2 linked regions of the Anolis sagrei genome follow. The protein of the gene in region 1 purifies or fractionates together with the protein of each later gene. This does not show direct contact. Links are inferred from orthologs where the notes say so. Each region holds a gene or a part of one and is shown in the gene's direction. Other genes may lie near its edges. The genes, in order: CAMLG and TNFRSF13B.

What was found.
Region 2: the proteins of CAMLG (region 1) and TNFRSF13B purify together in Homo sapiens (affinity purification with western blotting; 3 studies listed by BioGRID and IntAct, with this or other methods). This does not show direct contact. The link is inferred for Anolis sagrei from reciprocal best matches to the Homo sapiens genes CAMLG and TNFRSF13B.

The regions. Positions count from the first base shown.
Region 1 is NC_090022.1:91,480,250-91,495,225, reverse strand, and holds CAMLG (guided entry of tail-anchored proteins factor CAMLG), read left to right. Parts: upstream 1-6,753; 5' UTR 6,754-6,837; coding exon 6,838-7,030; intron 7,031-9,516; coding exon 9,517-9,956; intron 9,957-10,384; coding exon 10,385-10,450; intron 10,451-11,588; coding exon 11,589-11,780; 3' UTR 11,781-14,880; downstream 14,881-14,976. Other genes in the region: protein transport protein Sec24A, read left to right, coding at 815-929. UniProt on the Homo sapiens protein: Required for the post-translational delivery of tail-anchored (TA) proteins to the endoplasmic reticulum.
Region 2 is NC_090035.1:3,300,020-3,315,426, forward strand, and holds the start of TNFRSF13B (tumor necrosis factor receptor superfamily member 13B), read left to right. Parts: upstream 1-9,428; 5' UTR 9,429-9,445; coding exon 9,446-9,569; intron 9,570-14,117; coding exon 14,118-14,276; intron 14,277-15,297; coding exon 15,298-15,407. UniProt on the Homo sapiens protein: Receptor for TNFSF13/APRIL and TNFSF13B/TALL1/BAFF/BLYS that binds both ligands with similar high affinity. Mediates calcineurin-dependent activation of NF-AT, as well as activation of NF-kappa-B and AP-1.

The DNA.
Region 1 (14,976 bases):
GTGTAGCAGGACTGAATATTTGATGGCTTATAAAGATGGAGAAAGAGATGATCCAGTGCTTAAGAACCAATTTACTAGTACTAAGTAGTACACATGACATTCTTGCATAGACAGGATTTTGATTTTATTATTGGAAGTTATTTTTCTGTATGCTGCTCAGTTGCACATATGGAGATGTCCCTGATGTTGGTGTGAATAAAGAGAATTCCATATATGCATCAGGTTATGTTCAAAGAGCTGTCTTATTACAGTTTCTCTCTTTGCAGATTAAATACTACATAAACTAGCATTGTTACAAAAATTGTAAAGTGAACTTAGAATCGTGTAACTGGTAGGAATTCATGGTTATGCTTGTTAACATTTGAACCTGACCTCAAAATCCATTTTCAGCTTGGCAGCACCACAAACAAGGGGTTTCTAAGGCACTGCGAATTGTATTGCTGGGAGATGACACCTGAAGCTCTTTCCCAATTTTGGGGTACCTTGAGACAAGCAAGATCCTGAGAGGTCACTCCAGATGCCTGTTTTTGATCTGCCTTGTGAGAAGAAGAGTGCTGCAGATGGCATTTCCCAATGCACTCATTTGCAGTGCCTCAACCTTTCAAGCTGATGCTCCGCTGTTCTGAAAGGGTTGGGCTTTGTCAAACATCATTATGATGGCAGAATCCATCACTGTTTACATATGATGATGCATCACCTTGGCCATTGATATGCATTTTGACAGATCCTACATCTTTGAAATACTGTATGAGGAATGAATAATTAAACATTGATGTTCTGCATTCTCATACTCTCTTTTGATTTTATTTTGAAGGGATGAAAGTCCATGGAAACCAAGTTTTCTCCAAAACATGATCGAAGACAGAACAGAATCTGCTTTATCATACTATGAGTTCCTTTTGCATATTCAGCAACAAGTGAATAAATGAACCCTGCTGTGATATGGCTCATCCAGTCAAAGGAGAATAATTGTGTGCAGAACACTTGCATTCATGATGCTCCTAAAAAGATTTTGGTCTGATGCAGTTGACAAGAATCTCACTGTGATTTCCCCCCAAAATAATAAAAAAGGCAAAGCAAATAAAGGACCACAGAATCATAAGTATACTATTGTGCAGTTGTACATTAAACAATTAAAATCATTTTGGATATGTTGGATGCCTTTAATTTGCTACACAATGTTTCATCGTAAGCTTTGGCATGAGTGATAAAGGTAATATTGAAAAGATGAAACTTTATAATGTTTTTGTTCAAAATATGTTTTAACTTTATTTTTGTTTTTCTGCTTTGTTTTGCTGCTAGAATAACAACCTCCCAGAACTGAATTGCAGGGAAATGATACTGTCTTGAATATATGTCAGTAGTTGAAAACTGCCTTTTTAAAGGAGCAATGAAAGCATTTGTTGTGAAAGAGAGAAAGTATTTAGAATTTTTTTAACAAAACTTTTTAACAATGATTATGATGAGCGGGGGGAAACAAACTTACAGTGGTCCAACAAGATTAAAAATCAACATTAAACTATTCATTTTAAAATCTATAGAATGCATCGGTGTTCTAGTATCTAAAAGAACAATAAGTTTTCATTACGTCCAATGAGATTTATAATCAAGTGGCCTGATTCAGTTTCAAAAATTATAAATGTGGATGTTAACATGGTGTCTTTAATCTTGATTCATTGAAAGTAAATAGGGGAACAGAGATTTCAACCAAAATGCCATGGCCATTTTATAGGTTTGATTAAATTTAAAGTCACATGTTCATAATGTGTTAATATTTTTAGTAAAAGAATGTTTACTGATGAAACTAAACAATATTTCACAGTTTACTAGAAACACTATCAAATAACTTGTTGGAAATCCAAAGCGGCATCTAATTAAATAGTAGGAATTTTGACATTTAAAGGTTAGGAGGGAACTATTTTGTGACTTTAATGGAGAAAGTTTTGAAAAAATCCTACTTCATGGGCAAAAATTATAGATTTTGCTTATTTATAAGCACATAGCATAAATGTTAGTTTTATTCATACCCTGAAATCTAATGAGAGTTAAATCATGACAAATACTATTAGTACATTTAGAACATCTGAATAAGTAACTTGCGGTAGCAACATCTTTCTTCAGTGCTGTAACTTGTGACTGCCATAGTTATCTTCTTTGACCCTTACTGCTCAAAAATAGAGTTTGGGAAAGATTACTTCATTCACATCTTTTTTGGACATTCCTTCTGTTAAACTAGGAGTGATTAACTAAAGTCTCCCCACTTATAGAAATAGGTACATACATGTACAAAAGGTCACCGAGGTTCTCTGAACAAACAACCATGTTGATAAACCAATATTTTGAATAATAACGCCTTGACAATACTCAAAACATTTCCTTCTAATTTATCCGGGCTGGTCTATGCAAAACTGCTTATGGAGTTGCGACTCTTATGTTACGGAGGGGAGGGGGAATCTCTCTTGAAAAAGGATTAAAATATCTGTTGAACTCTACTAAACTGAAGTATTTTCTTGCTGCTGCCATGCTTTTTAAGGCTCTATTTTAGTTATTTAATGTGAAGTATTGATAATCCGCTTTGGGAGCATATGCATAATGGAGAATCATCCACTGGGTGCCTCACAATACATCCTAAGCCTGAATAGTAATGTTCTAACACAGTCCTAGCAATCTTCCAAGAGTCATATACTCAAAGATACAGACTTCCGTGCCTAGATTACTTTTTTCATTCAGATATAGTGTCTACATAAAAGTGATGCTGTGCATCCTACACTTTTCATTGGATATGTGCTTTCTGCACAGACACAATGCTGAAACTACCAATAGTGCTGTCAGGTTTGAGAAGGGTTTATTCTGGAGGGGATGGAGTGGGCACTCTCATATGAAGTTCTATGTCCAACTTTCTCCCATCTGCAGACATTTTTAGTTTGGAATGGGGTAGACATGGCTTAACTTCTTGAAAGCCAGTGTATTGGGCTTTAAAGAACCAAATCTACTGAAGAGATAACTAAGAAATATGTTTCAAGAATACAGCCCTTACCACAGTCTCCTAGAGGGATTCTTCAACAATAATTGCATCTTATCTGAATCAAATGCTTTTTGGAATATTCATACTCGTTTTTGCAGTACTGAATTTTTTGATTTTATTCCTTTACAATAGGGAACACAATTGCTTTTACTTACATTTTAATAACAGCAATTGCAAGGCATATTTATGTGTCAAACTGCCTATGATGTACTTTAAATTAGTTGATTTTAATGTCTCTAACAGCTATCCTAGGCAAGAGTGGCCCTGATACATCCATTTTTGCATGGAGCACCACAGCAAATGTTCTCTATTTTTCTAACTCAATATTTTTAAAGAATAACTCAAGATGATCAAGATGTTCAATCAGTCAAGCATCAGCATTTTAATTAGTACTTACTTTTTTATTTAATTATTTGCATCTGACTCAAGTTTGACTGTTTTGCAATAATGAGGATACAATGTCCTTTTATTCAGAATTCACGTAACAGAATATAGAATCTGATCCAGAATGTTAAGGGACCATCAAATGTGACAAAACTTCTGTTTGTGAGTGAACAATTAAATCCTTCCAATTTGATTTTGTAAAGTAGTGTAAGATACTGTAATATTAATCCTTGTTTTCTGAACTCCGACATTGATTTTCAGTGTGAAAATGTAAACCATGCTCTTCTGAACTGGAGGCAAGGTTTTACTTGTTCCCCTTTTTACAGTTTGTAATTTTCACTGTTTTATTCCTGTAAAAAGTCATTTGTAACACATGCAAATGCTTATTTTAGCTGTGCTAATTTATCAAATTTGGCTACTCAATAAAATTATTGAAAGAGCTTACATAAACTTTATTAGTCCTTTTTATACATAAAAAAGCTGGAAGCTGCAGAGAATCTGAATATGGTCTTAGGCACGGTAAGGAGTGGGTCTGTGAATGATCAAATTAACAACCTGCCAGATTTATATTGTATATTACTGCATTTTTTGTCTTTGGAAACAGTTTAAAATTTACCAGTTTTTCTAATATTGTAGAAAGCCTCACTGAATTCCACAAGATTTACTTCTGAAATATAGAGGTATAAAGGTATATACAGTAGATGTATCTGGTTATTAAAATCAAACTCTGATGCTGAACTGCAGATATTTCCCAAGATCATACAAAACAGCCTTTGACTTTGTGAATTAAAACAAGAATTATCTATTTGAATAACTGGTACTCATGGGGATTGGAAGGTGCAGGGTAAATAGTACCTGGTTGCTTGAGAATCCCTGTTAAAAATAGGCCTAACTACATACTATACCAGGCATGGGCAAACTTGGGGCCTCCAGGTGTTTTGGACTTCAATTCAGACAATTCCTAACAGCCTCAGGCTCTTTCCTTTTCCCTCTCAGCCATTTAAGCTACAAATGCTAGGTTTCCATAGTATCGAGCCATGGCAGCTAATGTGATGTCAAACTGCATTAATTCTAGAGTGTGGGTGTACCCTCAGTCCTATGAGGAGTCATCACTTGCTTCATTGGTGGATGTAGTTGAAAGAATCAGTTATTATTATTTATCGTGTCAGAAGCAACCAGACATTTGTATTACATTTTTAACAAAACAGACAAAACACAAAGTTTGCAAGCAAGAATCAGTTGTGATCCCTTTATTCATTGTTTAACATATACAGCTAGTAGGGACTTAGGCTGGGCTATCTGAGAGTTGAACTCCAAAACACCTGGAGAACCAAAGGTTGGGAACCACTGCATGGGAATCATGCTGCAAGTGCCCTTTGTGTACGCTATGAAAGGGGGTTTTGGAGCCTGGAGAAACCACTGAAACACTTTTTGGGTCTCTCTAGGATGGTGATGGAACCAATAGAAGCACCACCTCCCCTCTTAAAAAAAGGTCTGTAAGGGGTCTACTGGCAAGTATGTGCCACTAAAAGGGTATGGGCTTCTGAGAAATGAGAACCCTCTCTGTCCCCAGGTTAAAGCTCTGAAAGGAGATTCTGTTATCTTAAATTACAGAAAAATCTTTTTCTGTATTGCCCAAATAATGCCCTCCTAATATTTTTGTAATCATGTGATGTACTCCACACTTGGAATATTGTGTCCAATTCTGGGCACCATAACTGAAGAGCAATATTGACAAGCTGGAATGTGCCCAGAGGAGGGCGACTAAAATGATCAAGGGTCTGGAGAACAAGCCCTATGAGGAGCAGCTTAAAGAGCTGGGCATGTTTAGCCTGAAGAAGAGAAGGCTGAGAGGAGACATGATGCTGTTGTTGTTCATTCGTTCAGTCGTCTCTGACTCTTCGTGACTTCATGGACCAGCCCATGCCAGAGCTCCGTCGGCCGTCACCACCCCCAGCTCCTTCAAGGTCAGTCCAGTCACTTCAAGGATGCCATCCATCCATCTTGCCCTTGGTCGGCCCCTCTTCCTTTTGCCTTCCACTTTCCCCAGCATAATTGTCTTCTCTAGGCTTTGCTGTCTCCTCATGATGTGGCCAAAATACTTCAACTTTGTCTCTAGTATCCTTCCCTCCAGTGAGCAGTCGGGCTTTATTTCCTGGAGGATGGAGACATGATAGCCATGTATAAATATGTGAGAGGAAGTCACAGGGAGGAAGGAGCAAGCTTGTTTTCTGGAGACAAGGACACAGAACAATGGCTTCAGACTACAAGAAAGGAGATTCCATCTGAACATGAGGAAGAACTTCCTGACTGTGAGAGCCGTTCAGCAGTGGAACTCTCTGCCCTGGAGTGTGGTGGAGGCTCCTTTGGAAGCTTTTAAACAGAGGCTGGGTGGCCATCTGTCAGGGGTGCTTTGAATGCAATATTCCTGCTTTTTGGCAGGGGGTTGGGCTGGATGGCCCATGAGGACTCTTCCAACTCTATGATTCTACTGTCAATACCTGGCAATAAGCAGCCAGACCTTGAAGCTGCTAGGCCATTCAATGCTAATCAAAGTGGCCAATTGCAACATTCACACTTTCCTCAAGCAGACAAGAGTTCCTCCTCCCACCCTGAGCAATCCAGAGATATAAAAATCTCACTTGCCTAGTTTCCAACAAACCTCACAATCTCTGAGGATGCATGCCATAGATGTGGGCGAAAAGTCAGGAAAGAATGCTTCTGGAACATGACCGTACAGCCCGGAAAACTTACAGCAACCCATTGACGTTGCTTTGGGTTTTTGTTTTTTTTTGATGGCTCAACGTACACGAGGATTGTTTCATGTTCAAAATTATTAAAAATTGTATATAAAAAACTGCCTCCAGGCGATGCCTATAAGGTGTATATGAAACAAATGTGTGGAGCTGGGTCCCATCCCCAAGATCTATCATTGCGTGTGTATTCCAAAAGCCACGGCACTTCTGGTCCCAAGGTTGTTGAATAATACAACCTCGGCGTGTATTTGTAAGCAGTTCAAGATACAGAGCGGCCCACCACCTCTGCGTCACTCCAATGGACAGCGCCGCTTGGAGACCACTGTGACCACGCCCCCTCTCGCAGGTGAAGTCATCGCCCGCTGCCGTCTCACCTCTTGCGGCAACTCCCTCCCTCGCTTAGACGCGCCCTCCCAGCGAGGTCACTCCTGCCATCGTTGTTAAGGGCGCTCTCTTGCCGGCAGCGGGCTGAGGTCTCGAGCCGACTCCCAGGCCCCAAAGGGCTCCTGCCCTCACCCAAGATGTCGCCGCTCGCTTCCCGCTCTGGAGGCGGAACTTGAAATGGCGGCCGGGGGCGCATGCGCACTGGCGAGCGAGTGTCAGCGCGAGGCCTGGCGAGTCCTATTGTGTGCCTGAGGAGGAGAGGCCTGAGGCGCCGTGCTGCGGGCGAGGATGGAGCCGGGCCCTCTGGGCGGCGACGGGGGAAGCCCCAACCACGACGCGGCCGGCACAGCCGCCTCCTCCTCCTCCTCGGCCGCGGGGCTCACGGCCTCCCAGCGCCGGGCCGAGATCCGCCGGAGGAAGCTGCTCATGAACTCGGAGGAGCGGATCAACCGGATCATGGGCTTCCACCGCCCGAAAGGAGGTGAGGAAAGGGCGGGACCCGGGCAGGCCGGGGGGGGGGGTGAGCGTTGCCAAGGTAACAGGGCCCTGCCGCGACTCTGGCCCCGCTTGGGAGCGCCTTCGCCCTCCTTCCCAGCCAGGCCTGGCGTACAGCGAGCGGACTCTCAGTTAACAGGCACCCATGGGGATTGGAAAGTGCAGGGTATCTGGTTGTATTGTCGAAGGCTTTCATGGCTGGAATCACTGGGTTGTTGTAGGTTTTTCGGACTGTATGGCCATGTTCTAGAAGCATTCTCTTCTGACGTTTGGCCTGCCTCTATAGCAAGCATCCTCAGAGGTTGTGAGGATGCTTGCCATAGATGCAGGGGAAACGTCAGGAGAGAATGCTTCAAGAACATGGCCATATAGCCCGAAAAACCCACAACAACCTAGTCTGTGGTTGCTTGAAAGTCCCTGTTTAAATAGGTCTAACTACATACTATGCTAGGCATGGGCAGACTTGGGGCCTCCAGGTGTTTTGGACTTCAACTCCAACACTTCTTAACAGCCTCAGTTCTCACAACCTCTGAGTGTGACTGCCATAGATAGATGCAGGGGAAACGTCAGGAGAGAATGCTTCTAGAACATGGCCATATAACCCGAAATACCTACAACAACCCAATCTGTGGTTGCTTGAGAGTCCCTGTTAAAATAGGTCTAACTACATACTATAACAGGCATGGGTAGACTTGGGGCCTCCAGGTGTTTTGGACTGCAACTCCAACACTTCTTAACAGCCTCAGTTCTCACAAACTGAGTATGACTGCCATAGATAGATGCAGGCAAAACATCAGGAGAGAATGCTTCTAGAGCATGGCCATACAGCCTGAAAAAACTACAACAGTCTCAGGCCCCTTCCTTTTCTCCCTCAGCCATTTAAGCTACCAATCCCAGGTTTCCATAGTATCCAGCTGTAGCAGCTAAAGTGATGTCAAACTGCATTAATTCTAGAGTGTGGGTGTACCCTCAGTCCCATGAGGACTTATCACTTGCTTCATCCATAGCTGGATGTAGTTGAAAGGATCAGTTGTGATCCCTTTATTCATAGATTCACATATAACAGCTAGTAGGGACTCAGAGTGCCTACTGGTCGATTGATAACCACTCAAACCAGATACATACTACGGATCATAAAGTAGTCCTAGTAGATAGGATGGTGCTTAATGAACAAATGTGTGCACAAAGTATACAGAAACTAGCATAACCTGAAGACTAACAAAAAAAAGCCTTTATTGAAAACCGTTTTCAAGTTGTTTTGTTAAGCTTTTGCAACCTAAAAAGCAGGCCAGGCTTGTGGCAGGGGGAGGAATAAATTACTCTTACTATCCTACTCTCTCCTTTTTATTTAGAACAGGCATTTAGGTTTTCAGGGACCTGTTGCCACTTTTCCTGTGGGCATCACTAGTAGCTATTTTACCTTCCCAAAAAACCCAATAGGCAAAAGATGCTAGACTGGTGCTTGATTGCAGTCTTCTTGAAAGTGCCAAGTTCCCCTAGTAAAGTAGAGTTCTGTTCAGTAGTGCAGCGTTGCCCAATCTAATGTAGTTACACTTTCTGAAGGTAATAGGATTTACAGTCTAATTTCTCTGAAGGGCATTAGTTTGAAGGAAGATGTTGTAGTGTAATTTGAGAAATAGCAACATGTGTTGTTCAAAGAACATTGTGGTTGCATTACTTCCCCTCTAATTTCATCTGCCTAATTTAGGTGTTCCTGTAATTTGTGTATTCCCATAAATCTGGCTTAATTGTTTGTTTGTTTGTTTTTTTGGTGTTACAATGCAGTGTTATTTCAACGGTCCCTCGTTATTTTTCCCAAGGAAGTTCACAAAAACATTGATTAGGGCAAGTTAAAAATGCAGTTTTAAATAGGCAGTAAGAAAATTAAACCAGCAATACAATACAAGTAGTATGACCAGGTTTGTAAAATATTCACTGAATGTGTGGGCCTTGGGTTCTTTCAAAAGCTGTAAAGGAAGTGCTGTTATTTCCTTTGATAAGAAGCATTTTGATAGCCTCAGGTTTACAAGGGCAAAGACTCCAGAATTTTTATTTCTTCAAGCAAGAATGTCTCCAAGTGGAGATCTTGCAGAAACAGGGAAGTTCGAATTCCCTGCTCTGTGTTCAGTGCCAAGTGCCACACCCAACTTTCTTAGAAATTTCCCTGATCCATTGATACAGATTTTCAAGGGACTGCCAAGGGAGGATGAGTCAGCAAATATCCTTTTTCTCTCCACTGGCAGAAAAGCTTTGCTGGCTGAAAGACAATCTTACGTTGGAAAGAAGTATTACTGGAATGCTTCTTACTACCTTTCTGAAAGTGCTTAAAGGCCAAGAGATAGACGTCAATTCAGTGTGCCATTCTTATTTGAGCCTTAGTCCCACAGCACCTTCATTTCTTAGGATTTAAAGCCCAGCCTAAAATATTTGACCTGTATTGTGTGTCCTTTTTCCATTTTGTCTCTTCTTCAGATGAAGACAGCCATTCAGAATCTAAACTTCAGCTTGAATCAGAAAAACCAAGCCCTCTACCAGCTCCTGTTTCCAAGCGGATTGTGCTTGGGGATACTGTCTGCAGCTTGGCAGGAACAGCCGACCATGCAGGCAGCATAGTGGAGAAAAAGGACGCATTTAACAAACCTCCCGAGGCTGGTAATGATGGCACAAGTGAGCTCCGGCAGCGCAGCAGGGGGGATCTGATAGAGGCTCCTCAACGAGCCCCTCGCCATGGTTTAGACCAGTACTTGTCAAGATTTGATGAAGCCATGAAGCTCAGAAACCAGCTCATGAGTGAGAAGCCGAGCCAAGAAAATGGAAATGCAGTGGAAGAATTTGACTCTTTCCGCATTTTTAGATTAGTTGGATGTGCACTACTTGCCATTGGAGTTAGAGCTTTTGTGTGCAAATATCTGGTAAGCAGAAAAAATACAGTATTTTTAATATTTCCCCTTCTTACTTGTTTGTCTTACTGTCATCTTTATAGAACATTCTGTGTATTTACGCTGAGAAGTGATTTCATAGCTAAGTGAAGATTAGAATTCAGTCCAGTTTGTCCACTCTTCCACAGCTGCATGCTCTAAATGGTAGTTCTTAAGGATAATACTAAAGTGTGTGGCTTAGAGTATCTTGTGTCAAAGTATCACCGATTCCTTCAAGGCCTCCAAGCGTTGCCAGATAGCAAAAGAGTCAGAATACATGACGTTTTTTAAAAAGCCTTGGCCTAGAATGTGTATTGGCTGAACTCCTTCACACAAAGACAGATTTTTAAAAGGTATTAATCAGTTTAACTCCTCATTGTAACTACTGTACTTTCTAATTCATGTAATATTTTTTTCCACAGTCAATATTTGCTCCCTTTCTTACCTTACAACTTGCATATATGGGATTGTCCAAGTATTTCCCAAAGGTAAGAACTTTTTCAGGACAAAAATATTCTCAATTTGACTAAAATGGCAGCAAAGAATTCCTGTTCTAGAATATTTTTAGATTAATAAACAGTGTATTAGCCAATAACATTAGAGCTTTCCAGTTAGTACTCTATATATTTGTTGGGGAGTAAATCCCATTGGGAGTTTATTTCTGCTGTGTAATAAAATATAAGTTGTTAGAGGTGCTCATGCTTAGATGTCAACAATCATACCCCATTTTGCTTTGTTACAGTAATTGTTTCTGCCTTCTTTGAACTTTTGGTGCTTCTGCACAGACACTGTAGTGCAGTCTGAGGCTGGCTTGATGGTGGGATGTCCACAAAAATGCTATAGCATGAATCAAGCCAGAAACAACATGTTAGAAAAACTCATCAGAAAGTTCAGAATAAGCCAGAGGATGCATGGCAGCTGATGAGATCCCATTCAGGACCTGAAACAGGGGTGATTCTGAACAGATGTGGATATGTGCATCAGCACATCTCAGCAGACCGGTTAAGAGGGAAAAAACCTACGTTTTTCAATGGCTGTCTAGCCACAGATACTGCAATTCCTGGGGTCAGTTCCAACCCAATAATCTCTGACTATTGTTGCTGCCATCCCAGCCTCAAACCGGTTCCTGGGGTGTTTGTGTAGGCACTGCACAGCAAAATTAATTTGTTTAAATCCATTGGATCATAGTGTCTGTGCAGAACTGGCCTTAGACCATAGATTGGAAACTTCCAGGGTCAAAGGGCCTGCACAACCTCCAGTATATTTCACACTGTGCTGAAATTTGGTGGTGCCATGGCAAAAAGAATGTTTTTCTTTAAAGCAAGATGTCGGGTGGTTTATAGCTGGATCTTACTCCCAGGAGACTTAAGTTACTTTTGAAAGAAGGATAGGAGCATGAAGAGACTAGGAGCATGAAGGCCCATCATAGGTTAAATTTAATGCCAAGATTATAATAAATAGCATAGTATAAGGGATCTGTTATAGTTTAAGTTATTGCTTGCCTATTGAGACATGCATACCAGGAACAGACATTCTGTAAACACATTAAATGTCTAATAATGTGCTTAAAGATGAAATATGGACATAATCTTTCTTCCTTCCCCCCTCCCCTTCTTTGTTATACAGAGTGAAAAGAAGACGAAGACTACAGTTTTAACAGCTGCTCTTTTACTCTCTGGTATCCCTGCAGAAGTTATTAGTCGTTCCATGGACACTTACAGCAAAATGGGGGATGTTTTTACTGACCTTTGTGTCTATTTCTTTACCTTCATCTTCTGCCATGAACTGCTCCTGTTTTTCGGTTCAGAAGTGCCCTGATGGATGTGGACGTCGGTGTGGTGTCTTCAACAGGACTGCATCAATCTTGGTTTTTGTACATGTCTCTGGATATATAAACAGGGTTATCCCATTCATACTTGTTTCTGTGCTTTGGAAGCACACTTCTGAAGGGAAGGGCATGGTCCCAGCACTGATGCAGAATTACTATAGTTTGAAAAACAGTGCACGATGTCTTAGTTACAGAATACAAATAGCATTCCAAGTGCAGGGCCTTTCTGTTATTCTAGAATATTGTCCTTTTACCCTATTCAAGGTACCGTCTTCTATTGTAACATTTCCTCTGGCTCTTTAGTATAAAAACCGTGGATAGCTGAGGTCTTGTGCTTGTCAGAATGACATGTCTTATGACCTGGCTGCTGTTGCAAAAAGGATGAAGAACATTTTGACCCACTCTCCTTTCCCTCTGTGCTCTCTGAAAGGTCTCCTGTGGGGTGGGGGAACCTTTTGGAACACCATAAAAGGGCTATGGGGAGATTCAGGGCAAAGAGGAAATCAGTGAAAATGGCCTCCTTTCCAAATCCCTGCAGGATCTTGGTTCCTTCTGAGAAAGGAAGCAGACTTAATATTCATGTAAAGCATGCTCTGATTCTATCCAGAGGAATTTCTGAGGGACTACTCATGCTGTTAAATTGCTGTAAACATCTCCATACATTTTTAGCCATTAAACGATTCTGACAAAAAGTCAGTTCTCAAGCTGCCTGTTACTGCAACAGAATTAAGCTTGGCGTAGGTTATGTGTTTGTTTTATAATTGGGAAGGGTTGATTGGAAACGTGAATGCCAGACCTTAAAAACTAGGTAATAAAATCCCATTGGTCCCACTGAGCATTCATTAATTTTTGCATCTAAATAGGAATCCTAATAAATTATGTTTACATGGCTTGATGGCATTTTTACTGTGTTAAGTGAATACTGCAGATTACAAACTGCTCTCTGTGATTAGACCTTTGTATCTAACTATGTCAGCAGTTTTATCCATCACTGTTGTTTTAATGCATTGTTGTTTAAACCAATGCAGGATTTTGAATCATGTTTCCTACATTTTTCTTCCCAAGAATACATGGTTTGGCCTCATTGGCCTGGACATTTTAGGAATTCTTGTATTTATTTGTAATTGAGGAAGAAGGTGGCTTTGTATGTTAAAAATTAGTCTTTGTCCTAAGTTAAATAGTTGCTTTTTGTGAATTTTAGTTTATAGGATGGGTGGGTAGCACAGAACATGTTCAATCCAGACTTTAAAAGGCATACTGTGAATGGGGTCTTACAACAAGACCAGACAGAATTACTTGAAACTGCTTCTACTGAAACCAGTGGTATAGTTCTAAATAAACCTTTATGTTGCTCAAGGCTTCTGTTGAGTGGTTGGTAGCATCATCAAACCTTTTCTTGCCTTTAGTTTAGAGTTCTTCATATACATATATTTCAGATAAGGAAGTTTTCCCCAAGCATGTTATCTTTAAGTCATTTCTGTAAATCCCAATTGTTGTACATCATGAAAAGAATAATACATTTTTCACTTGATCTTTACTTGATCAAGGATAAAGGTCATACTAGAGCAAGGACTGGTACAGAAATAACACTAATAACACTAAAGAAAATGACTGTGTAATCACTGGTCTTTTTACTTGTCTGAGGGCTGTTTTCTGTTTTCATGTGTTCCAGTGGTGTGCTTGTCTGTTGCCATTACTGGGCAAAACAACAAAGAAGCAGTGGTTCACCACAGACCCTGCTGGTCTAATTTTTCATTGAGTCCTGTGTTGTATCAGAAAGGATTCAATTAAAAAGTAGACCACTGTGGTCTAGTTCTCATTATGCCAAAGCAGGTATGAATAATGTGTGATCTTCCAGGTGATGTAGGACTATAGCTGTCATTAGTCCTATTCAGCACATAGGATTGTAAGGCATACTGAGAACTGCAGTCAAATAAAGCTTGGTATGAAACATGTTGCACGCCTCCGTTCTAACAGATTTTTTTTCTTGACTTTTGTCCGAGTAACCTTTCTAAATTGGTATGCTACCATTAAGTTAATAAATCTGTGTGCCACTTAAGTCTTGCTTAGCTAATTCTAAATCTCTATGGTTAAACAAGCTAAGACCATTTATCTTTTTTGAGGTGGTAGTGTTTTTGTTGGGAATTAAAACTACATGTTACCCACCAGAAGGATATCCTAACTAGTAGTAGGGTTTGGGGGAACTTTCCTAATAATCGTAATACTACATATAATTGAATTGAATTTCATTGTTCTGATTACATGTGTTCCATAAGAAATGTGTCCTATAGTGAGATTAATAAAAGGAATCAGGGCTCACAGTTATTTTTGCCACAACAAATAAGACTGCATTCATTTGATAAAACCAATATCTAAAAAAATTGATCAGAAAATGAGTAAAATCTCTCTTTGAATATGGCTTCCTCTTTAGATTCTAGTTTGGGTATATTGGCGTGTCCAGTTGGTTTTTACACTACAATAAAGTGTCAGCTTTTAATTTTGATGTTTGGTTCTCTAGTCTTATTAAGTCTTAATAAACTAGTCTTAATAAGGTCTCTTATTATATCTCTGTTATATGGGAAAGTCTTGTTTGAAGATAATGGATGAACTTAAAAGAATTCCGAAATGGAGTTCGGTTTCGAGAATTGTGTGCCTAATGAGTGGCTTTCACAGGCTCATCATAGAAACCTTCAAAATGGTCTGAGCCTTTCACAATTTGACGGTCTTGCCATCTAAGTTAAAGCTACTGTAATTAGCACACAAATTGGGTCTGTTCTAATGGCATTTCTAATGCCCTGTATTTCAACTATGCCTGCCAGTGGGAAAAAGAGAGTTAATCTAAAATCCGATTGGATATTTTTTTTCTTAAATTTAAAAGCCACATTTCTAGATTTTTTTAAAGTTTCCGATGTCGCCCTCTTCTCTGCAGTGAAAACTGAAGTATAGGTTAGAATAATTGCCAAACAGTCAGGAAGTGTTCCATATGTCCTTTCGCAAAAACTGGAGCTCCTGTGTGTATTAAATTCATGTGATCTTGTATGTCCTTCAATATGATTTCTATGCTGGTTCTAATAAATTTATTAAACTTAATTGTATTGTCTTTCTTTTCTTTGGCTTTGAAATTACTTGAATATTGAATAGAAGATATTGCACAGGATGGCAAATTATTTACTGATTGTTTCCAGT
Region 2 (15,407 bases), on another chromosome or scaffold:
GACAAGCTGGAATGTGTCCAGAGGAGGGCGACTCAAATGATCAAGGGTCTGGAGAACAAGCCCTATGAGGAGCGGCTTAAGGAGCTGGGCATGTTTAGCCTGAAGAAGAGAAGGCTGAGAGGGGATATGATAGCCATGTATAAATATGTGAGAGGAAGCCACAGGGAGGAGGGAGCAAGCTTGTTTTCTGCTTCCCTGGAGACTAGGACGCAATGGAACAATGGCTTCAAACGACAAGAGAGGAGATTCCATCTGAACATGAGGACGAACTTCCTGACTGTGAGAGCCGTTCAGCAGTGGAACTCTCTGCCCCGGAGTGTGGTGGAGGCTCCCTCTTTGGAGGCTTTTAAACAGAGGCTGGATGGCCATCTGTCAGGGGTGATTTAAATGCAATATTCCTGCTTCTTGGCAGAATGGGGTTGGACTGGATGATGGCCCAGGAGGTCTCTTCCAACTCTTTGATTCTATGATTCTATGACTGTGAGAGCCGTTCAGCAGTGGAACTCTCTGCCCCGGAGTGTGGTGGAGGCTCCTTCTTTGGAAGCTTTTAAACAGAGGTTGGATGGCCATCTGTCGGGGGTGATTTGAATGCAATATTCCTGCTTCTTGGCAGAATGGGGTTGGACTGGATGATGGCCCAGGAGGTCTCTTCCAACTCTAGGATTCTATGAAGTCGGTCCGTTTTATAATTCGGAGATTTGTACGATCCGTTAACACAAATCTTCAAATTACACATTGGAATGGGAACCCTCTGTATCATTACGAAATGAAACACGAGCCTCCGAAACATTTCAGAGAGAATAATCAAGATTTGTTGCTTCAATCTGTAGTATTGTTTTAAAATACTTTTTCAATCGAAAAACTTTAGAAGATTCCTAAAAGTCAGTAGATAAACGAATCTTTCTGAAACTTTGCGGGACTGATGCCCTGCTTATCTTGTTTCTTGTAGTTTTGCTACAAGCATCTGTTTCCCTTTGTAAATATATCTATTAGGTTGCTTTTTTTGTTTAGTCTGTGCCTTCCAATGAAGCAGCTAAACATCAGGAAGTGAAGAATAGGGCTGTGCGAAGCTTCGGAAGTCCATCCGTTTCATAATTCGGAGATTTGTACGATCCGTTAACACAAATCTCTGAATTACGAATCGGAATGGGACCCCTTCTGTACAAGCCTCCGAAACATTTCAGAGAGTTTAGTCAAGATTCGTTGTTTTGGAGCGTTTCAAGCTGTAATAATTTTTTTATTGAGAAATCACTTGATAAACGAAACTTTCTGAAACTTTGCAGGATTGATGCGCTTCTTATCTTGTTTCTTGTAGTTTTGCTAAAAAAAATAGTTGTGAATATTTCCTTAAAATATTTCCTAAAAATCAGTGGAGGACCACGACGTTCCGAAACTTGGCAGGCTGAAAGTTGTAAATGTTGCCTACATGTGTGCCAAGTTGTATCCTGACAACCATAAATATGACAGAGAAACTAGGCTCAAAATTTTCCCTATTGTCACTAATGGATCAAGTCCATTGGTGCAGTTTGGAATGCTCTTTGACGTTATTTTCTGTTGGTCATGGGGGTTCTGTGTGGGAAGTTTGGCCCAATTCCATCATTGGTGGAGTTCAGAATGCTCTTTGATTGTAAGTGAACTATAAATCCCAGCAACTACAACTCCCAAATGACAAAATCAATCGCCCCCCAACCCCACCAGTATTCAAATTTGGGTGTATCAGGTATTTGAGCCAAATTTCGTTCAGTGAATGAAAATACACCCTGTATATCGGATATTTACATTACTATTCATAACCGTAGCAAAATGATAGTTCTGAAGTAGCAACGAAAATAATGTTATGGTTGGGGGTCACCACAACATGAGGAACGGTATGTAAGGGGTCCCTAGTGGCACCCCGATTTTGGATTGCCTTTCCCATGAAGATGGGTACCAGCTCTGGATTCTTCCAAGTGCTCAATGTTCTCTCCCTAATTGAGTGACATATCAAGGAGAAGTTAGCCAATGGGTTTGATACTCAATGGAATGTGGTCTGGAAACCTCCGTCACTGGATACTTAATCAAGGGGTCATCTGCATACCCATGTTGTGGGAGTCCAAGTCCAAAAGACCTGGAGGGAAGGCCGAAGTTGGTTCACACGTTTGTCCTCTTGAGACTGGATACATAAGTCAACCAAGAGATCCTCTGCATACCCATGTTGTGGGAATCTGAGTCCAAAAGACCTAGAGGGAAGGCTGAAGTTGGTCCATGCCTTTGTCCTCTTGAGACTGGATACTTAAGTCAACCAAGGGGTCTTCTGTATACCCATGTTGTGGGAATCCAAGACCAAAATACCTGGAGGAAAGGTTGAAGTTGGCCCACGCCTTTGTCCTCTTGGGACTGGATACTTAAGTCAACCAATGGATCATCCAAAAGACCTGGAGGTAAGGCCGAAGTTGGCCCATGCCTTTGTCCTCTTGAGACTGGATACTTAAGTCATCCAAGGGATCTTCTGCATACCCATGTTGTGGGAATCTGAGTCCAAAACACCTGGAGGGAAGGCCGAAGTTGGTCCATGCCTTTGTCTTCTTGGGACTGGATACTTAAGTCAACCAAGGGATCATCTGCATACCCATGTTGTGGGAATCCAAGACCAAAAGACCTGGAGGAAAGGCTGAAGTTGGCCCATGCCTTTGTCTTCTTGGGACTGGATACTTAAGTCAACCAAGAGATCATCTGCATACCCATGTTGTGGGAATCTAAGTCCAAAAGACCTGGAAGAAAGACCAAAGTTGGCCCATGCCTTTGTCATCTTGAGACTGGATACTTAAGTCAACCAAGGGATCATCTACATACCCATGTTGTGGGAATCTGAGTCCAAAAGACCTGGAGGGAAGGCCGAAGTTGGCCCATGCCTTTGTCCTCTTGGGACTGGATACATAAGTCGACCAAGGGGTCATCTACAGAACCATGTTATGGGAATCTGAGTCCAAAAGACCTGGAGGGAAGGTCAAAGTTGGCCCACGCCTTTGTCCTCTTGGGACTGGATACTTAAGTCAACCAAGAGATTATCTGCATACCCATGTTGTGGGAATCTGAGTCCAAAAGACCTGGAAGAAAGACCAAAGTTGGCCCATGCCTTTGTCCTCTTGGGACTGGATACTTAAGTCAACCAAGAGATCATCTGCATACTTGAACATGACCCCCCCCCTCCCCCAATAAAAGATAGTAACTTATAGTTTTGCGAAGGACAAGGACACCAGACTGGATAATAAGGGTTAATTTGCCAAGACACTAACAACAACAACAAAGACCCTTCCCATGTTAGATACTGTGTACATTTAATCAAGGTTTTATGCCCTAGGTTTCATATATAGCAGAAGGTAACACATTAATTACTGAGAAACCACCTCCCTTTACACTTATGTACTCTCTTGAACTTCTATGGGACTCTGGGGGGTGGGATAAGTGGGTATGTTTTCTGCACCATGATTTCTATATTTCTCCCTGTAAAATGTATAAAAATATGAGAAGCCACCCTCTGTGACTCTGGAAAGGAGGAAATCCTCAGTTGAAAAGAACCTGATCAAAAGACACTTTTTGCATGGACAATAACAATGGATCGTGACCCTTGGGACTCGGAGTTGGCCCCCCCCAGTGGAGGCGGTAGCTTGGCATTGATGATCATATCTCAATAGGACAAAAGGGGCCTTCGGAAAGCCACACTTGGTCCTGATCTGTTATTCATTTAAATCTTCCTCTACCGAAACTTCAGCCATATTTCCTCATTGTTCCCATATCTCAGCACCAAAAAATCCAGATCTGGCAGCCTTGCCAGACATCAACGTTTATTGCCACCAATCAAAGACAATAGACTGGCCGGCTAGAAGGCCCCTGGACTTGCTAACCGCTTGGATATTCCATATCTCCATAAGCCCTTCAAGGATTCATTGTTTCCCTCTCGTCCCGCCTCCCTCTCTCCTGATTGGTCAGGAAGCCGAGGCGGCAGAAGCCCAGTGATTGGCCCAGGCGCTCAGGCGCTTAAGTCAACCAAGGGATCATCTGCATACCCATGTTGTGGGAATCTGAGTCCAAAAGACCTGGAGGGAAGGCCAAAGTTGGCCCATGCCTTTGTCCTCTTGAGACTGGATACTTAAGTCAACCAAGGGATCAACTGCATTCACACAATCGGTGAATGACAGCCAGTGTGATGCAATGTCTGGAACCATGACTTTGGAGACCAGGGTTTGCATCCCTGCTCAGCCACATAGTGATCCTGGGTGAGTCACACTCTCTCAGCCTTCAAGCAAGTCAATAGCAAAGCCTCTTCTGAACCAATTGTGCCAAGGAAACCCCAGGAGAAGTTCAGCTTAGGTCAGAAGATGACTTGAAGGCACAACAACAATCATGTGTTGCAAGGTGATACAGAAGAGAAACCTTCTTGGGGTTGGAGCGCTACATTTTCCACTCTCTCGTGGAACTTTCCACATGTTGTTTTTCTAGGGGGGGGGGGTTCTATTAGTAGTTGCAGGTGGCCTCAGGTTGAGGACCGGACGCAGGTGGAGGCTCGGAGCTGGGCGGACGGAGCACTGGACCCTTGCATTCCCAGTCATATCCCGTCCTCAACCCATTTTCCTCTAGACCAGTGTTTCTCAACCTTCCTCATGCTGCGACCCCTTAATACAGTTCCTCATGTTGTGGTGACCCCCAACCATCAAATTATTTTCGTTGCTACTTCATAATTGTAATTTTACTACTGTTATGAAACATAATGTAAATATCTGATCTGCAGGATGTATTTTCATTCACAGGACTAAACTTGGCACAAATACCCAATACACCCAAATTTGACTACTGGCAGGGTTGGAGGGGTTGATTTTGTCATTTGGGAATTGTAGTTGCAGAGATTTATAGTTCACCTACAATCAAATAGCATTCTGAACTCCGCCAATGATGAAATTGAACCAAACTTGGCACACAGAATTCCCATGACCAACGGAAAATACTGGAAGGATTTGATGGGCACTGACCTTGAGTTTGGGAGTTGTAGTTCACCTACCTCCAGAAACTCAAACAATGATGGATCTGGACCTAACTTGGCATGAATATTTAATATGTCCAAATGTAAACACTAGTGGAGTTTGGGGAAAATACACCTTGACATTTGGGAGTTGTAGTTACTGGGATTTATAGTTCACCTCCAATCAAAGAGCATTCTGAACCCCACAATGACAGAATTGGGGCAAACTTCCCACACAGAACCCCCATGACCAACAGAAAATACGTAAGGCCACCCAGTCCAATCCCTTCACCAGGGCAAAAAAACAGAAATGAATATCATGAAGCTTCATAGAATCATAGAATCAGAATCATAGAATCAGCACAAGGTGATTGGTTGGGCCATGCCTGAGAGGCTAGCTGAGCCTGGGAGTTTTGGCAACAGTTACATAGAATCCTAGAGTTGGAAGAGACCTCCTGGGCCATCCAGTCCAACCCCATTCTGCCAAGAAGCAGGAATATTGCATTCAAATCACCCCTGACAGATGGCCATCCAGCCTCTGCTTAAAAGCTTCCAAAGAAGGAGCCTCCACCACACTCACTCCGGGGCAGAGAGTTCCACTGCTGAACGGCTCTCACAGTCAGGAAGTTCTTCCTCATGTTCAGATGGAATCTCCTTTCTCCAAGAAGCAGGAAAATCACACTCAAAACCCCCCCGTCAGGTGGCCATCCAGCCTCTGTTAGGATTGGTTCTCTGTTCCTATATGGCTCTTCCCCTATTTGGATTTCTGTTGGGATTTATAGTTCACCTACAATCAAATAGCATTCTGAACTCCGCCAATGATGAAATTGAACCAAACTTGGCACACAGAACTCCCATGACCAACAGAAAATGCTGTTTTCTGATGGTCTTTGGCGACCCCTCTGACACCCCCTCGCGACCCCCACAGGGGTCCCGACCCCCAGGTTGAGAAACACTGCTCTAGAGAGATAGGAGGCCTCACCTTGGTATTATTATTATACTGACACAAAAACACAGTATGACGCAGCTAATGAGATCTATATATTGGATTTCGTTATTATTATTATTATTATTATTATTATTATTTCTTTCCTGCCTCAACTCACAGAAAGAACAGGTGGCTGGAAGTGGCATTTTGAACAAAAACAACAAGCAATTGCAAGATTCGCTCCCCGGCTCAATGGAAACCATTCACAGTTGCTCCATAGCAGCTATCTCAAGCCTATTATTATTATTATTATTATTATTATTATTATTATTATTGCATTTTATTGGCATTGATCTCATGTACATTTTGTTATATGCATTTTACTAGTGTTGTGTTGTATTTATTTTAACTTTATTTTACTTTAACTGCGTCTCGAGTTGCAAGGAGAGGCAAGTAACAAGTTGTTGTTGTTATTGTTGTTATATGATACACAACAAGATCAGTACACAGCAAACAAGATCACGAAGCTGGCTGTTATTTATTTATTTATTTATTTATTTATTCCCATTGACTGGAAAGGTAAGACCCAGAAGCTTTAGCTGGAGAACAGCCTGATCCTTCTTCTTTCCTTTTCTCCCCTTTCTCTTTCCCTTTCCTTCCTTCCCTTCTTTCCCTTTCTTTCTTTCTTTCTTTCTTTTTCTTCTTCCCTTCTTCTTCCCCTTTCCTCCCCTCCCCTTCTTTCCCTTCCCTTCCCTTCTTTCCCTTTCTTTCTTTCTTTCTTTCTTTCTTTCTTTCTTTCTCTTCTTCCCTTCTTCTTTCCCTTTCCTCCCCTCCCCTTCCCTCCCCTTCCCTCCCCTTCTTTCCCTTCTTTCCCTTCCTTCCTTCCTTCCTTCCTTCCTTCCTTCCTTCCTTCCTTCCTTCCTTCCTTTTTCCCTTTCTTTTCCTTCCCTTTCCTTCCTTCCCTTCTTTCCCTTTCTTTCTTTCTTTCTTTCTTTCTTTCTTTCTTTCTCTTCTTCCCTTCTTCTTTCCCTTTCCTCCCCTCCCCTTCTTTCCCTTCCTTATTTATTTATTTATTTTATTTATTTAGTACACTTGTATACCGCTAATATCTCAGCCTGTGCGGCGACTCATTGCGGTTTACAACATATTTAAAAATACAATATTCACTTTAAAAATATAAAATAAAATATAAAAATACATACATATACATACATAGTATTGGGCCACCAATACAGACCGGAACATCTCATAGTTAAAGTCGTAATCCAATTCGTTATCCTTGATTGCTAGTCCATGATCAAAACATCATCACATCGGAATTAGTTAAAAACTTGCTCGAACATCCAAGTTTTCAGTTTTTTCCGAAATGCCATTAGCGAGGTGGCTGATCTTATTTCAGTAGGGAGGGCATTCCAAAGCCGGGGGGCCACCACAGAAAAGGCCCTATCTCTCGTTCCCGCAAGCCGCACTTGTGAAGCAGGCGGGATGGAGAGAAGGGCTTCTCCTGAAGATCTTAGGGTCCTGGTGGGCTGATAGGCCGAGATACGTTCGGATAGGTATGTAGGGCCAGAACCGTTTAGGGCTTTAAAGGTCAAAGCCAGCACTTTGAATTGGGCTCGGTAGCTAATCGGTAGCCAGTGGAGCTGGTACAGCAGAGGAGTTGTATGCTCCCTGCGCCCTGCTCCTGTTAATACCATGGCTGCCGCCCGTTGGACTAATTGGAGCTTCCGGGCCGTCTTCAAAGGCAACCCCACGTAGAGAGCGTTGCAGTAATCAAGGCGGGATGTAACCAGAGCGTGGACTACCTTCCTTCCTTCCTTCCTTCCTTCCTTCCTTCCTTCCTTCCTTCCTTCCTTCCTTCCTTCCTTTTTCCCTTCTCCCTTTCTTTTCCTTCCCTTTCCTTCCTTCCCTCCTTTCCCTTTCTTTCTTTTTCTTCTTCCCTTCTTTCCCTTTCCTCCCCTCCCCTTCCCTCCCCTCCCCTTCCTTCCTTCCTTCCTTCCTTCCTTTTTCCCTTCTCCCTTTCTTTTCCTTCCCTTTCCTTCCTTCCCTTCCTTCCCTTTCTTTCTTTCTTTCTTTCTTTCTTTCTTTCTTTCTTTCTTTCTTCCTTCCTTCCTTCCTTCCTTCCTTCCTTCCTTCCTTCCTTCCTTCCTTCCTTTCTTTTTCCTTTCTTCCTTCCTTTCCCTTAATTCCCTTTCTTTCCTTCTTTCCTTTTCCCTTCTTCCTTTCCTTCCTTCCCTCCCTTTCCTTCTTTCCCTTTCTTTCTTCTTTCTTTTTCTTTCTTTCTTCCTTCCTTTCTTTTTCCTTTCTTCCTTCCTTTCACTGAATTCCCTTTCTTTCCTTCTTTCTTTTTCCCTTCTTCCTTTCCTTCCCTCCCTCCCTCCCTCCCTTCCCCTCCCTCCCTCCATCCCTCTCTTTCTTTCTTTCTTTCTTTCTTTCTTTCTTTCTTTCTTTCTTTCTTTCTCCCTTCTTTCCTTTCCTTTCATTCCCTTCCCTTCTCTCCCTTCTTTCCCTTTCTTTCTTTTTCTTTTCCCCTTCTTCTTTCCCTTCCCTTCTTTCTTTCCCTTTCTTTCTTTCTTTCTTTCTTTCTTTCTTTCACCCTTCCCTTAATTCCCTTCTTTTGCTTTCTTTCTTTTTCCCTTCTTCCTTCCCTTCCCTTTCTTTCTTTCTTTCTTTCTTTCTTTCTTTCTCTTTTTCTTTTCTCTTCTTCCTTCCCTTCCTTTCTTCCTTTCTTCCTTTCTTCCTTTCTTCCTTTCTTCCTTTCTTCCTTTCTTCCTTCCTTCCTTCCTTCCTTCCTTTTCCCTTTCTTCCTTCCCTTCCCATCCCTTCTTTCCCTTCCCTTCTTCCTTCCCTTCTTTCCCTTCCTTCCTTCCTTTCTGGTAGGCAGTTAGGAATGGTGGGAGTTGAAGTCCAAAACACCTGGAGGGCCCAAGTTGGCCTGTGCCGGCCATATATTCATTCATTCATTCATTCATTCATTCATTCATTCATTCACTATATTTCTATACTGCCATTCTCAGCCCGAGGGCGACTCATGGCGGTTTCGATGCCCACAATACTGTTGTTGTCGTCGTTGTCGTTGTCATCATCATCATCTTCTTCTTCTTCTTCTTCTCCTCCTCCTCCTCCTTCTTCTCCTCTTTCCTCCTTCTTCTCCTCCTCCTTCTCCTTCTCCTCCTCCTCCTTCTCCTCCTCCTCCTTCTTCTCCTCCTCCTCCTCCTTCTCCTCCTCCTTCTCCTCCTCCTTCTCCTCCTTCTCCTTCTCCTTCTCCTTCTCCTCCTCCTTCTTCTCCTTCTCCTTCTCCTCCTCCTCCTCCTTCTTCTCCTCCTCCTTCTTCTCCTCCTCCTCCTCCTTCTCCTCCTCCTTCTCCTCCTTCTCCTCCTTCTCCTTCTCCTCCTCCTTCTTCTCCTTCTCCTTCTCCTTCTCCTTCTCCTTCTTCCATGGCAAGGGTGGTCTCATTCCAACGGCGTATTCCTCTGCTCTTCTTTTCTCTTTCTGCAGGCCTTCCTTCCCAGGTCTCCCCGATGGGTCTCCAAGGGCGCACGCCATGTCCGAAGGGGCAGTTCTGGGACGCTCTCCTGGAGCGGTGCATGCCCTGCGGCCTCGCCTGCCACACGCGCAAGTTCCAAGGATGCGCCGACTTCTGCAGTGAGTGTCCGGGAAAGGTTTGCCAGGGTGCCAGTTGCTTCTGACCGACATCCAACTAGACCCAAAGCGGTGCCGCAGCCAAGGAAGTCGAGCGAATTGTCGCTTCGTTGAGGTTCTCCCAGGATAGAGCGTGATGTTGCAGAGGGCCACTTCACCTAGGTTCTCCCAGGAGGGACTTGGCTCTGGGTTTCCTCTGCTCTGCTCAGAGAAGAGGATGGTGCTCCTCTAGATATATACAAGTCAAGGATTGGCTGTCTGTCTGTCTGTTTGTACCACCAAGGCTGCTGCTAGGTGGAGTGGCCCTCTCTGATGCCACTGAAGTGGCTGTTGCAAGGTAGAGTGGCCCTTTGCAATGTCATAGGAGTAGTTGTTCCTAGATGGAGTGGCCCTCTCTATGATGTCACTTAAGTGACTATTGCTAGGGGAAGTGGCCCTCTGGGGTGTCATTGGAGTGGCTGTTGCTTAGGTGGAGTGGCCTTCTGTGGTGTCACTGGAGTGACTGTTTCTAGGTGAAGTAGCCCTCTGGGGTGTCACTGGAGTGGCTGTTGCTTAGGTGGAGTGGCCATCTGTGGTGTCACTTGAGTGGCTGTAGCTAGGTGGAGTGGCCCTTTGTGGTGTCACTGGAGTGGCTGTGGCTCGGTGGAGTGGCCCTTTGTGGTGTCACTGGAGTGACTGTAGCTAGGTGGAGTGGCCCTTTGTGGTGTCACTGGAGTGACTGTAGCTAGGTGAAGTAGCCCTCTGTGGTGTCACTGGAGTGACTGTTTCTAGGTGAAGTAGCCCTCTGGGGTGTCACTGGAGTGGCTGTTGCTTAGGTGGAGTGGCCATCTGTGGTGTCACTTGAGTGGCTGTAGCTAGGTGGAGTGGCCCTTTGTGGTGTCACTGGAGTGACTGTAGCTAGGTGGAGTGGCCCTTTGTGGTGTCACTGGAGTGACTGTTTCTAGGTGAAGTAGCCCTCTGTGGTGTCACTGGAGTGACTGTTTCTAGGTGAAGTAGCCCTCTGGGGTGTCACTGGAGTGGATGTTGCGTAGGTGAAGTAGCCTTTGTGATGTCACTGGAGTGGCTGTTGCTAGGTGGAGTGGCCCTTTGTGGTGTCACTGGAGTGGCTGTTGCTAGGTGAAGTAGCCTTCTGTGATGCCACTGGAGTGGCTGTTGCTATGTGGAGTGGTCCTCTGCAACATCACGGAAGTGGCTGTTGCTAGGTGAGATGGCCCCTGTGGTGTCACTGGAGTGGCTGTGGCTCGGTGGAGTGGCCCTCTGTGGTGTCACTGGAGTGACTGTTTCTAGGTGAAGTGACCCTCTGTGATGCCACTGGAGTGGCTGTTGCTATGTGGAGTGGTCCTCTGCAACATCATGGAAGTGGCTGTTGCTAGGTGAGATGGCCCTCTGTCCTGCCACTGGGGTGACTGCTATTAGGTGAATTGGCCATCAGTCATGTCATTGGAGTGGCTATTGTTAGATGAGGTGGCCATCTGTCATGCCACTGGGTGAAGTGGCCCTCTGTCATGTCACTGGAGTGGCTGTTACTGGGTGAAGTGGCCCTCTGTCATGCTGCTGGAGTAGCTGCTCTAGGTGACGTGCCCCCTGTCGTACGACTGGGTTGGTTGCTGCTGGGTGAAGTGGCCCTCTGTGATGTCACTGTGGCCCTCTGTCATGCCACTGGGGTGGCTGTTACTGGGTGAAGTGGCCCTGTGTCATGTCACTGGAGTGGCTGTTACTGGGTGAAGTGGCCCTGTGTCATGTCACTGGAGTGGCTGTTACTGGGTGAAGTGGCCCTCTGTCATGCCACTGGAGTAGCTGCTCTAGGTGACGTGACCCCGTGTCATATGACTGGGTTGGCTGCTGCTGGGTGAGGTGGCCCTCTGTGATGTCACTGTGGCCCTCTGACATGTCACTGGGGTGGCTGTTACTGGGTGAAGTGGCCCTGTGTCATGTCACTGGAGTGGCTGTTACTGGGTGAAGTGGCCCTGTGTCATGTCACTGGGGTGGCTGTTACTGGGTGAAGTGGCCCTGTGTCATGTCACTGGAGTGGCTGTTACTGGGTGAAGTGGCCCTGTGTCATGTCACTGGGGTGGCTGTTACTGGGTGAAGTGGCCCTGTGTCATGTCACTGGAGTGGCTGTTACTGGGTGAAGTGGCCCTGTGTCATGTCACTGGGGTGGCTGTTACTGGGTGAAGTGGCCCTGTGTCATGTCACTGGAGTGGCTGTTACTGGGTGAAGTGGCCCTGTGTCATGTCACTGGAGTGGCTGTTACTGGGTGAAGTGGCCCTGTGTCATGTCACTGGGGTGGCTGTTACTGGGTGAAGTGGCCCTGTGTCATGTCACTGGAGTGGCTGTTACTGGGTGAAGTGGCCCTGTGTCATGTCACTGGGGTGGCTGTTACTGGGTGAAGTGGCCCTGTGTCATGTCACTGGGGTGGCTGTTACTGGGTGAAGTGGCCCTGTGTCATGTCACTGGGGTGGCTGTTACTGGGTGAAGTGGCCCTGTGTCATGTCACTGGAGTGGCTGTTACTGGGTGAAGTGGCCCTGTGTCATGTCACTGGGGTGGCTGTTACTGGGTGAAGTGGCCCTGTGTCATGTCACTGGGGTGGCTGTTACTGGGTGAAGTGGCCCTGTGTCATGTCACTGGGGTGGCTGTTACTGGGTGAAGTGGCCCTGTGTCATGTTACTGGAGTGGCTGTTACTGGGTGAAGTGGCCCTGTGTCATGTCACTGGGGTGGCTGTTACTGGGTGAAGTGGCCCTGTGTCATGTCACTGGAGTGGCTGTTACTGGGTGAAGTGGCCCTGTGTCATGTCACTGGAGTGGCTGTTACTGGGTGAAGTGGCCCTGTGTCATGTCACTGGAGTGGCTGTTACTGGGTGAAGTGGCCCTGTGTCATGTCACTGGAGTGGCTGTTACTGGGTGAAGTGGCCCTGTGTCATGTCACTGGAGTGGCTGTTACTGGGTGAAGTGGCCCTGTGTCATGTCACTGGGGTGGCTGTTACTGGGTGAAGTGGCCCTGTGTCATGTCACTGGAGTGGCTGTTACTGGGTGAAGTGGCCCTGTGTCATGTCACTGGAGTGGCTGTTACTGGGTGAAGTGGCCCTCTGTCATGTCACTGGAGTGGCTGTTACTGGGTGAAGTGGCCCTCTGTCATGCCACTGGAGTGGCTGTTACTGGGTGAAGTGGCCCTGTGTCATGTCACTGGAGTGGCTGTTACTGGGTGAAGTGGCCCTGTGTCATGTCACTGGAGTGGCTGTTACTGGGTGAAGTGGCCCTGTGTCATGTCACTGGGGTGGCTGTTACTGGGTGAAGTGGCCCTGTGTCATGTCACTGGGGTGGCTGTTACTGGGTGAAGTGGCCCTGTGTCATGTCACTGGAGTGGCTGTTACTGGGTGAAGTGGCCCTGTGTCATGCCACTGGGGTGGCTGTTACTGGGTGAAGTGGCCCTGTGTCATGTCACTGGAGTGGCTGTTACTGGGTGAAGTGGCCCTGTGTCATGTCACTGGGGTGGCTGTTACTGGGTGAAGTGGCCCTGTGTCATGTCACTGGGGTGGCTGTTACTGGGTGAAGTGGCCCTGTGTCATGTCACTGGGGTGGCTGTTACTGGGTGAAGTGGCCCTGTGTCATGTCACTGGGGTGGCTGTTACTGGGTGAAGTGGCCCTGTGTCATGTCACTGGGGTGGCTGTTACTGGGTGAAGTGGCCCTGTGTCATGTCACTGGGGTGGCTGTTACTGGGTGAAGTGGCCCTGTGTCATGCCACTGGAGTGGCTGTTACTGGGTGAAGTGGCCTCCGTGATATCACCGGAATGGCTACTGGGCAAAGTGGCCATCTGTGATGTTGCTGGAGTCACTCTTGCTAGGTGAAGTGGCCACTTGTGATATCAATGGGAAAGAACGTTGACCTGTGTATGGGAGGAAGGGAAGAAGGAAGGAAAGAGACACGAGGAGAGCCATGGAGACATTGCGAGGTCTCGAGAGCTGGAGAAGGGAGGAAAGAGGGGAAGGAAAGAAAGAAAGAGAAAAAGGAGGAAGAGAAAGAAATGGAGAAGGAAGAGAAAGGAAAAGAAGAGAAAGAAAGAAGAGTAGGGAGGGAGAAGTAAGGAAAAGGAGGGAAGGAAGAATGAGAAAGAAGAGATGAAAGCAGGCATGGGCCAACTTTGGTCCTCCAGGTGTTTTGGACTCCAACTCCCACCATTCCTGGCCTCAGGCCCCTTCCTTTCCCCCCTCAGCCGCTTAAGCGGCTGAGGGGGGAAAGGAAGGGGCCTGAGGCCAGGAATGGTGGGAGTTGGAGTCCAAAACACCCAAAGGGCTGAAGGTAGTAGCTTGCAATGGCACAAACAAGCCAGGCCGGATGGCCATCGGATGCTCCAAGATACGATGAATGAAACTCGAGAAACTCAAGGATGCTGCTGTTCCCATGGCTACGTGGACTCTGTAACCACTGAGCTGCCGTCGAGTCCAAATGCCCTAAATTGAGCCTCTAGGGAACGAGAACGCTGACTCCTCTTTCCTTCCTCCTTCTCTTGATTTGAGTCCAACCCCACTTGTCTTTCTTTTCTAACTCCAGGCTCCATGGATTGCAGCAAGCGTCCGGGCTTCTACTACGACAAGCTCCTTCGAGGCTGCATCGATTGCTCCGGCGTTTGCGGGCAGCACCCCAAAGAGTGCGACCCATTCTGCCAAGGGGATCGGAACTCGCTCGGCATTCACCAAGTTGCAAAGCAGGGTGCGTCTCGATTCTCCAATAGGAAATACATGGGTTCCTCTGAGCATGGACAGAGAGCTTTTTGCATATCGCAAAGCAACTCTAGCATGGGAAGGGTAGTTAGGCCAGGCACAATTCTTCTAGGTCGTGCCCTTTTGCCAGGTTGCCTTTGGATCTGCCCACTCTGCTTCTGAGTCTATTCATGGACTTCCACCTTGACCATTCATGGTTTGGCCCTTGAGGAAGACCCTCATGGAGGACCATCCCATTGGGATTTCCGGGTTTAGCTGCCCAGAGGGATATTCTTACTCTTGCTGGAGGAACATTAAGAGGAGTGGTGGTTCTCATGAAGCTTTCCCTTGATTTAAGTCTACTGAGAAGGGGCTGATAGCCATGCAGTGAGTGGCTTTCACAGAGTTCATAATTGGATGATAGATGGGTGATGATTCCAGAGATCAGGCTTCGATCTCCTTCTCATCCATGGAAACCCATTGGACGGTCGTGGGTGAATCAAACACCCACCTCCACAGAATTCCGCAATAGGTTTTGCTTTAGGGTCAGGGGCGGCTCGTCCATTACGGGAAAAGGAAGTTTTTTGGTTCAGTCTTACAGTTTGGAAGCTCAGTTACAAGATGTAAGGTTTACTTGGGTACCCAAAAAGCAAATTGGAACTGGGAGTAAGGCCCCACGCCAGCCAGCCTAAAGACAGATTGCCCAGGGAAGGGTTGGAGGGTTTTCCTTGTAAAAGAAAGAAATAGTTCACAATTTCTTAACTTGAGGGCAAGTTAAGAATTTGTGTGTTTTGTTGAAGATTTAAGGAATAACAAAGAACTTTGTTAAACTTTCCAAGTTTCTAAAGACTTTGTTTAGGAAAATCCATAGGGCCTCTCAGCCGAGGCCCTCCGGCGTCCCGCTGGGCACAAAGAGCACATTCTGTTTTAAAAGACAATTGCTATTGCGTGTCAGCACAAGGCTGGTAAAGTGCAACTGCGGAGCAATAAATAAATGCCCCTCTGCTCTCTTTCTTCCGTCCCACCCTCAGATGCTCCTGCGACCTCCATGCCAGAGCCGTCCGCTCTGCAGGGTCCCCAGTGCCAGCTGTTTCCCATATGTGACCCGGGGATGTTCGTCTACATCGGCCTTGGGCTCTGC